Cricetulus griseus: one gene and its partner. The protein of the gene in region 1 purifies or fractionates together with the protein of each later gene. This does not show direct contact. Links are inferred from orthologs where the notes say so. Each region holds a gene or a part of one and is shown on either strand. Other genes may lie near its edges.

Region 1 (4,141 bases):
TGTTAGTATATTAAAATAAGGCACAAAACTTAAAAGATATAAATATATAAAGATCACCTCAAGGCAGCTCTAAGGGAATTCTAAAGATTTTTAGACAAAAAGCATGCCTGGTTATAATGACAATTCATTCAAATACTTGTGTAAAATGGAAGAAATCTGTAATCATGTTTAAGAGATTTGGGGAAAACATTACATAATTAGCTTTATTTTTAAGTTAATATTTGAGACAATGTCTTGTATAAATAGCAGGCTGGTCTCTAACTCTCTATGCCACCAACGATGACTTTGAACTTCTGGTTCTCTTACTTCTGCTTCCCACATGCTGGGATCATATGTCTACAACTGGACTGTTAATTATAGAAACCACTACTCACTCAAGAAATAGTTTTGGAGCCCCTGCTTTGTGCCAAGTGCTATGTTAAAAGCCAGAAACAGAATAGTGAACCTGAGAGATATGTCCTGCTCTCATTAGCTTACAGCTGAGTGAGGGACTGACAAACAAAGCCTATGCATGAGGTTTAAGGGTGCTCAAGTTGTTTCAAGGGTGCAGAGGAAACCAATACAACCATGGCAGGCATCCTGGGGAAGGATGGAAAGGACACAAGAAAGAGCCAGTCCATCAGAGGTGACCTCAAGAAGTCCTTCCAAGGATAACTAAACAGCTCAGGTACACATGAGACACCTATCACCATGGTTCTTCTTTACAAAAGCTCACAGACAGATGCCAAGCACTGGGAAAGCCCAAAGTAAACAAGGGAGCAGAAACACGAGGTGTAGAGAATGCTCCAGACAAGTCTTTCTACAAAGAAGGGCTTAATAGGATGGGGCTTGGGGGTTGGTCCTTAAAGGCTGCAGGACTAGGTGTCCTGTTAATATTGAATGGGCATGTACCAATAGGAGGAAGGCTAGGAAGGGTTGGTTAAAGATAAAGGAAAGGGCACCTGTCTTGGGGTTTCCTTATGAAGGAAAAACATTTGGCTTACATTTTCAGAGGTTTAGTCCATTATCATCATGGTGGGAAGCAAGGCAGCACACAGGAAGACACAGTGCTGAAGAGGGAGCTAAGCATCCTATATCTTGACCAGCAGGCAACAGGAAGTGGTCTGTTAATGGGGGAGGTCCTTCTGTATATATATGTTTGTCATATTGGTTGATAAATAAAGTACTGTTGGCCAATAGGAAAGCAAGATACGTGGGGCTAGGAGTCAAGGAGGATTCTGGGAAATGTAGTAACGAGATCCAGGCAGGAAGTGACATAGCAGGCAGACTCAGAATATAAGCAGGGACAAGAAGGAAATCGTCCTCTTTCTCTTCCTTTTCCTCTTGCTCTCTGCTCTGGAGCTACCATGTGAGCTTGGAAAGACAGGACGCATTCCGCCGGCATCCTTAATAAGATAAGCCTTATAAAATATATAGATTTATGATAATTAAGACTGAGCTACCATATAAGAAATCCTAGTCATTTGGCCAACAGCATTGTAATTAAAACGACTCTGTGTGTTATTTTGGGTGTCCACATGGCAGCGGGGCTTGGGCCACTGGCATAAAGATTTATCGTTACAAAATGGTGTTAGGAGTGGGATGATGGGGGAGGTTCTTCTGTGTATATGTTTGTCTTATTGGTTGATAAATAAAGTACTGTTGGCCAATGAGAAAGCAAGATAGGTGGGGCTAGGAGTCAAGGAGGATTCTGAGAAAAGTAGGAACAAGATCTAGGCAGGAAGTGACATAGCAGGCAGACTCAGAATACAAGCAGGAAATTGCTCTCTTGCTCTTGCTCTTCCTCCTGCTCTCTGCTCAGGAGCTGCTATGTGATCCCAGGAAGAAGATGCCAGCGGAAGGTGTCCTCGATAAGATAAGTCTTATAAAATATATAGATTTATGATAATTAAGACTGAGCTAGCAAATAAGAAATCCTAGTCAATTGGCCAGCAGCACTGTAAACTAATATAAGACTCTGTGTGTTATTCTGGGTGCCCATGTGGCGGTGGGGTTTGGGCGGATGGAGTAAAGACTTATCGTAACAGTCTGGCTCACTGGGCATAGCTTGAGCATATATGAAACCTCAAAGCCCAGCTCCACAGTGACATACTTTCTCCAACAAAGCCACACCTCCTGATAGCGTCATTCCCTTTGGGGGCCATTTTCTTTCAAACCACACAGCAGAAATTGTGTTTGTGAAACAAGGAAAGGGGCTGGAATCCAGAGCACCACACACAGCCTGGCATCCCTTAAAGCTACAGAGAGGACAAGGAAAAGGTGAATACTCAAGAAGGTGAGAATCAGGGCTGGGGAGACAGCTCAGTCAGTAAAGCACTTGCCACGTGAGCATAAGGACCTCAGTTCTATCTCTCAGAACCCAGGCAAGAGCCAGATGTAGTGCAGTGGTATACACCCGTGGTCCCTGTGCTGGAGGGCAAAAAGGGGGATCCCTGGGCTTGCTGGCTAGCAAGTCTAGGCACACTGAGTGAGCAGCCTTGCCTCAAAAAATACAGTAGGGAACAATTGAGGAGGGTACATGGTGTTCACCACTGGCCTCAGCATGTGTACACACAGGAACACACACAGGAACACACACATACACAGACACACACAGACACACACAGACACATACAGACACATACAGACACACACACACACACACACACACACACACACACACGGGGTGGGGGTAGATTCAGTATCTTCAACTTGTTTTGCCAATAACAGAAAAATTCAACTTCAGCATTGACTGCTTAACTACAAGAGTACAGAGGCTGAAAGTCCCATATTACCTTCATCTAGCAGCTGGGAGAGCGTGGAAGGCCGGAACCCTGCAGGAATAGCTCCCATTGTGGCTAGCACATCAATAGTGTTTATCTGCTGAAGAGAGGAAAATGAAATAGACTTGTTTCCATTCCTCTATTTGTCTCTGTAAGACTTCAACACCATTGCAACCATAACCCCAAAGAGGAAAACACAAAACACAGACAAAAGAAATATTGCAGTGTAACCCCCAATTGCTAGAAGGTGACACTCATCATGAACCCCGGTCTCTGTAATGACTTTGACCCTCGTGGAGACTAGTGTATAGAGCTCTGGGTTCTATGCCAGCTGCTTCAAGTGCATCCTGCACCAAAATGTCCCCACTCCTGTCCAGTTCCACAGCACATGCCACTGAACCAATGGCTATGCACTTTAGAGTCAGTGGATGTTCTGTGTATGTGGATATTTGCCCACCCACTCACACAAGCATGACCTTGTAACTGAGGAAGAGAGTAAAGAGTCAGGAAGATGACTCACTACACTGCTAATGGGGATGGTTTATGGGATTGACAGGAAGGATTTTCACTTAGTTGTATAATTTCTGGGTGATAGAATTATGGGTAATTTCTTACTCTGATGTCTTTCCAGCAGGAGATATGCCTTACACTCGGCACTTTGCACCTGCTGTGACCTCTGCTGACCTCCCGTCTCTATTCTGCTCTGAACCCAATGTATCTTGTCAATCACAACAATATTATTAGGCACAAAGCACTAGACAGGAGTCACCAACCTCTGAGATAGCTTTTCGGACAGCACTCCAGTGGGAATCGGTTCTAGGGAGACAAAGCAGTAAGGTCAGTGAGGAACCAGTTACACCTATTCTAACTGGGCAGTCACAGAGCAAAGTGTGTCATCATCAATTAGTTCTGAAAACTAAACAGTCATCTTCTCAGAGGAAGCCAAGCTAGGACTAGATGCCCTAAAAAATCATTACAAAATTAAAGTAGCAACACATGCCTCCATTTCAAGAAAGTGCTGAATTATTTGTGATAGTAAAAATAAAGTAAAAAAAAGAGTCAAAAGTTTTGAAGATGGTTTACTTGCTAAAATGCTTGCCATGCAAGTGTGAAGATCTGTGTTCAAGCCCCCAGAGCTGACAGAAAGCCAAGCTTATGCCTTATAATCTCAGAGTTGGGGAGGTGGAGACAAGAAGGTGTCTGGGGCTCACTGTTCACCCAGCCTAGCCTAATTAGCAAGCCCCAGGTCCCAGAGAGACCCAGTATCAAAAAGCATGGTTTCTGAGGAACAACATGCAAGGTTCCCCTCTGCCTACACACACACACACACAGACACACAAGACACACACACACACACAGAGACACACACACTCACACAA
Region 2 (4,893 bases), on another chromosome or scaffold:
TGAAAAGCACTCGAGCACCAGCCTAACCTTCCAGGGTCTGCCTGCCCCTCGCTCTCCCAACTGCCTGTCAGGTTGGCACTGGAGATCTGAAGGCCCGCCTCCCTGCAGCCCTCTCTAGAAACATTATCCAGGGCTGTGTGGTCAGTGCAGTCCTGGGAGACTGTGAGCTCCCTGAGTCAGCACCAGTCCTTGGAAAGACTCTGTCAGTACTGAAAGAAATATAACCTCTATGGCAGAGAAAGTGTTCTAAAGAGACACTTTATAACCCCAAAGAAGTAAAATCTCCCCGGGAATCCCCATGCTGGGAGGAAGGAAGGTCAAAGCCTTGTGCCAGAGAAAGGAGGAACTTGGGAAGGCTTCACTCAGTTCCGACCGGTCAGACCACCCAGCAGGAGACACTGGAGCAGACACAGGAATGGGTCAGTGACCACGCCCTGACCAGGACTACTTAGTTATGCATACCTCCCGCCTTGTTTGTGCCTAAACTTCATGCTAGTATTCCTAAGATGGACTTGGGGGTACTGGCCAGCCCCTGTTGTGGAATATTAACTAGGCAAAAAAGTGTTACATTTGTTTACACCCTGAGGGACTATTATTTTATGCTATTACTTTATGGAGATGTGTTACGTTTGTTCCTGCTGCCTTTGTTAATGATGGAAAGATGAGTCATATTTGTTGGTGCTGCATTTGTTTAATTATGTAAAATGTGTTGCATTTGTTACAGGTCCCCTGCCTATTTATTAGACCTGATTGGTCTAAAAGAGAAAAGAAAAAAGCTTAACGGCCAATAGCTAGGCAGGAGAGGGATAGGTGGGGCTGAAAGGCAGAGAGAATTAAGTAAAAGGAGAAATCTACACTCAAAAGAAGAGAAATAAGGGCAAGAGGGACAGGCCTGGGGCCAGAAGCCAGCCAGCCACCAGACAGACACAGAACAGAGCATACAGAAAGAAAGGTAAAAAACCCTGAGGCAAAATGTAGATGAAAAGAAACAGGGTAATTCAAGTTAAAAAAGAGGTAGCCAGAAACGAGTCTAAGCTAGGCCAAGCATTCATACTTAATAAGAAGTCTCCATGTCATAATTTGGGAGCTGGTTGGTGGGTCAAAATTAAAAAAAAAAAAAAATCCTGGTTCAGAACCATTTATGTGTTCCTCCTCCCAATGTGGCCAAACTGAATAAATCTCCTTTCTCCTCTTTTCACGGTTATTTGTCTCTTTAACCAGTGTACTGGGGACAGGTGGCAAAGATCACACCCTGGGGTTGCCAGAGCCAGGCTCATACCCTACAAACTCCAGTAACAGAAAGGTTTGGAGGAAGGATCACAAGGGCCACCAAGAAGAATAAACATTAGAAAGAAAACTGGGCCGCTCCATGCTTTCAACCCAAGGAAAGGGACCCTGGGCTCTCTACGAAGGACATGAAGGAGAAGACAGGACAGCTCCTACTGAAGCCCGAGCTCAGTCAGGCACAACACTCCCGATGTACTGCTCCAACAACTGGAAGGCAGTGTCATCACAGCCCACCCTATACAGGAGGAGACGGGCTCAGACAGCTGAGTTCACAGCTAATAGGGACTAACTCACACCCATACCACTCTCCTCCTCCCGCTCAGGAAGCCAAGGGGGACAAGATGTCCAGAAGGTGGTAGTTGAGAGCCCTCCGGGCGGAGATGTCCAAAGATGAGGGCCAGTTTTTTTCTCCTTAACTTCAGCCAAGGTCTTCACCCTCTCTTCCTGCTTCCAATCTACAAGATGACAGCTTGGGGGGGGGGGGGTCTTAGGGTCTTCCAGTCAATAAATGTTTGACAGACACCTGGTGTATTCCAGAGGCAAAGAGACAAATCGTCTCCAACAATATTTAACTGTAGTGAGGGAGAAACACGGGACAAGTGGGTGCACCCCACAGCATAGATCACGACCAAGACTCATATATAGGTGGTGACAAGGGAGGAAACCAGAGGCTGAAATTCTGAAATTCCACAAATAGTGGTGCCAGACTGGGGGAAGTCTGCTCCTCAGAAATGAAGACCTGAGAGTTACCCCCATGGGGGCGGGGGGTTACCTGTAAGTTTGATTAAGGCATGCATGCCCTCATTCACCCTCTGCTACGGGACTAAAGTAAACAGTCTCGAAGATCCCTGAGTACAAACTCAAGAACCAGACAGCGCTAGGGCAGTTGTGGGGCGGGGAGCGGGGGACACAAGGCAGAATTATGGCCCGTGGAAGCTGCATGGCTGAGCCACAAAAAGGAAACCAGGGTTGGGACAGGGAGAGTTTGCCCATTCCGTAAACCCGCAAAGCTGGCTTCAGTGCAAATTTCCAATCGCTAGTACGTCTCCCCGCACCAAGGCAAGTCTGGGCACACCAGGAACTAGGACATCAGTGTAGGTTGCAATTCCAAGCAATGAAGAAAGGGAGAAGACCCTGCGCCCCAGGGGCCTCCCAGTGCATAGAGGGCCGCATGAACCTGGCCGAGCTACCCGTATTAGGGCTGGGAAAGAAGCGCGCACACCAGCCCGTGGGCATCTTCGAGGCTCTGGCGAGCACGCCGCATCCGTTTCGGCACCGAGACTGCGGCGGGAACCCGGTCAGAAAGCGGAGGACAAACCGAAGGAGACCCCCGACGCCCAACTTCGGAAGGCAACCGGGATGCACCAATGGCGACGCAGGGGGGGAGGGTGACACCGCGCGACCTGGGCCCGGCCCCGTGCTCCGTGCCGTGCCTTGCAAACACCGGGTCGTCAGCGAGACGCAATATGCACATTCCCACCCGGGACCCTGAGGTCTCTCCAGGCTCTGCTGCCACCCGCGCTTCCAAAACACGCACACCTCCCCCGCACTTGGTGCGGTCCACCGCTGGCGTGTTACCTAGGAGACGGGCACCGGATCCACGCGCCCAAGACGTCCCGCACCGCGGATCCCGCGATCCGGCGGCCGGTGCGCAGCGGAACCCGAGGTCTGGTGGGTTCGGCGCCGGCCAAGGGGGTCGCCCTGTCCGCAGCCACCCACGCGAGGAGCCTGACCCGCGGGACTCCGCGCACTCGGCACCGGCCCCGCCTCGGGTCACTCTCTCCGTCAAGGCCGCGCGGGCCAATGAGAACCCGAGTCCGAGGACCCGGACTCCGCACGCGCCAGCCAATCGGCGCGTCGGCGGGAGCGGCATGATTTGCATGGGCTTCGAGGGCCTCCGCCAATGAGACGGTGACTGGCGTGGGTCACAGCCAATGATTGGCTGCTAGGGGCGTGGCCGCGGGCGTCCCACGAGGTAAAGATGCTGCGGGCGGAACCTGCGGGAGCGAGCGGGATTCGGGGCCGCTGAAGTCGCAAGGGCAGGGCGGGAAGGAAGATCCGGAGCGGGGCGCGGGATCCGGAGCTGGAGGCCCCCAGGTGAGTGCAGCCGGGAGACCCCGGCGGGCACCTGCGAGGCCGCGCTGTCGCGGGTACCGCGGTCCCTCTCCATGTCCTCTTCCCCAGCCCTGCATCCCTGCCCCCGCCGCGGTTCTCACCTCCTCTCCAGCCTCCCCATCTCCTTCTCCACAGTCTCCCTGCCCCCACCCCACCCTCTCTGCTTCCCTGTCATCCTGCCCCACCTTTCAGCCGACATCCCGGACCCCAACCACAAACTTCACCCCCGGCTCTGCCCCCTCCCGCCCCGCATCCCCACACCTCGCCCTTGCCTCCCTGCTTCTCCTCCTCTCCCTCCCGGCCTCTGCGCACTCCTAGTAGCTGCCTTCTCCATCCCTCTCCTTGTTGCTCCTCTGGACTCATTCTTCGTCCTTGCAGCCTGCCGGGTGTCCCTTTCGTCGTGACCCCAACTTCCCACCCATTCTGCTCCCAGCCCCTTCGATCCCCGCCGGCGCCGCCGCCACCACCGCCACCACCACGACCGCTACTGTGCCACCGCAGTGCTCTCTCTATTTTGCGTTGCACCTCGTCCCCTCTGTTTCTAGACTTCTACCCCTACCCTCAGTTTCTCCCGCATGCCCGGGCCCTGGCACTTGCGCATCCCCACCTCCCTACCTGCTGCTATTGCTGCTGCTTCTGCTGCTGCTGCAGGATGCGGAGCCCAAATGCTGCACTGCTTGCCTGCTGCAGTATCTGCAGCAAGGTGTACCTGCCCACCTGCCCTCCCTCCCTCCCGTCTGGCACACCCTGCTTGCTTCTCCTGGCACTCGTCCTGGGGTCTCCTTCAGGATGCCTTCTGGCACCCTTTGCTGCCTGCCCACGGGCTGCCATCCCCCTCTGACCCACCCTCGCTTACTGTTCAGTCACACTTTGTGAGTCAGCGTTTTTTGGGGTTGGTAACTTTCTTGGCTTACTGGTATGAAAGGGACCGGTCTTAAATGCAGGTGGTCTGGACTCGGAAGGTATGAGGGCCACCACATCAGACACCAGACTTGAGCTGCCCGTTTGGAAGAGGGCCCCACCAGTGGGGGTTGCCTCTTGCTCCATTCCATTCGTCCGCCCTGTGTTGAACCACATCCAAGGGGAGATGACATAAGTAATAGCTGTTGGAGAGATGGGCCATTAGCATTTATGGAAATTAATACATCCACATGAGCAGGAACACCAAGTTCAGTCCACAGCTGTCCCACTATCTGTCGCTTCTGGGTTTCTTCTTTCTTTGCAATTTCTCCTCCCCCTCAAAAACTCCAACCCCCAACTCTCTTCAGTGCCAAGAATAAGCTTCTACTCTGCGCTTGAAGCGACACCCCGGCCCAGGATTGCAGGGTTTGGGGACCTGTGTGTGTGAAAGGTCCCATCCACCCAACTGCTTCATACTTCTGTGTCGGCGTGCAACCCCCGGGGGCCCTGGCGTTGGGCTTTTCCAGTGTGGAGTCCTCCAAGTATACTTGACTCTGGAGGTCCCATTGGTCAGGTCCAGCCTGCGGCCTC

The links. Proteins that work in one complex are often made in the same cells at the same time.
Region 2: the proteins of Nphp1 (region 1) and nephrocystin-4 purify together in Homo sapiens (co-immunoprecipitation; 6 studies listed by BioGRID and IntAct, with this or other methods). This does not show direct contact. The link is inferred for Cricetulus griseus from reciprocal best matches to the Homo sapiens genes NPHP1 and NPHP4.

Annotation. Positions count from the first base shown.
Region 1 is NC_048599.1:50,821,366-50,825,506, reverse strand, and holds part of Nphp1 (nephrocystin-1), read right to left. Parts: intron 3,579-4,141; coding exon 3,536-3,578; intron 2,863-3,535; coding exon 2,775-2,862; intron 1-2,774. UniProt on the Homo sapiens protein: Together with BCAR1 it may play a role in the control of epithelial cell polarity. Involved in the organization of apical junctions in kidney cells together with NPHP4 and RPGRIP1L/NPHP8. Does not seem to be strictly required for ciliogenesis.
Region 2 is NC_048595.1:3,880,433-3,885,325, forward strand, and holds the start of nephrocystin-4, read right to left. Parts: upstream 3,078-4,893; 5' UTR 2,866-3,077; intron 2,603-2,865; exon of another isoform or gene 2,478-2,602; intron 1-2,477. UniProt on the Homo sapiens protein: Involved in the organization of apical junctions; the function is proposed to implicate a NPHP1-4-8 module. Does not seem to be strictly required for ciliogenesis. Required for building functional cilia.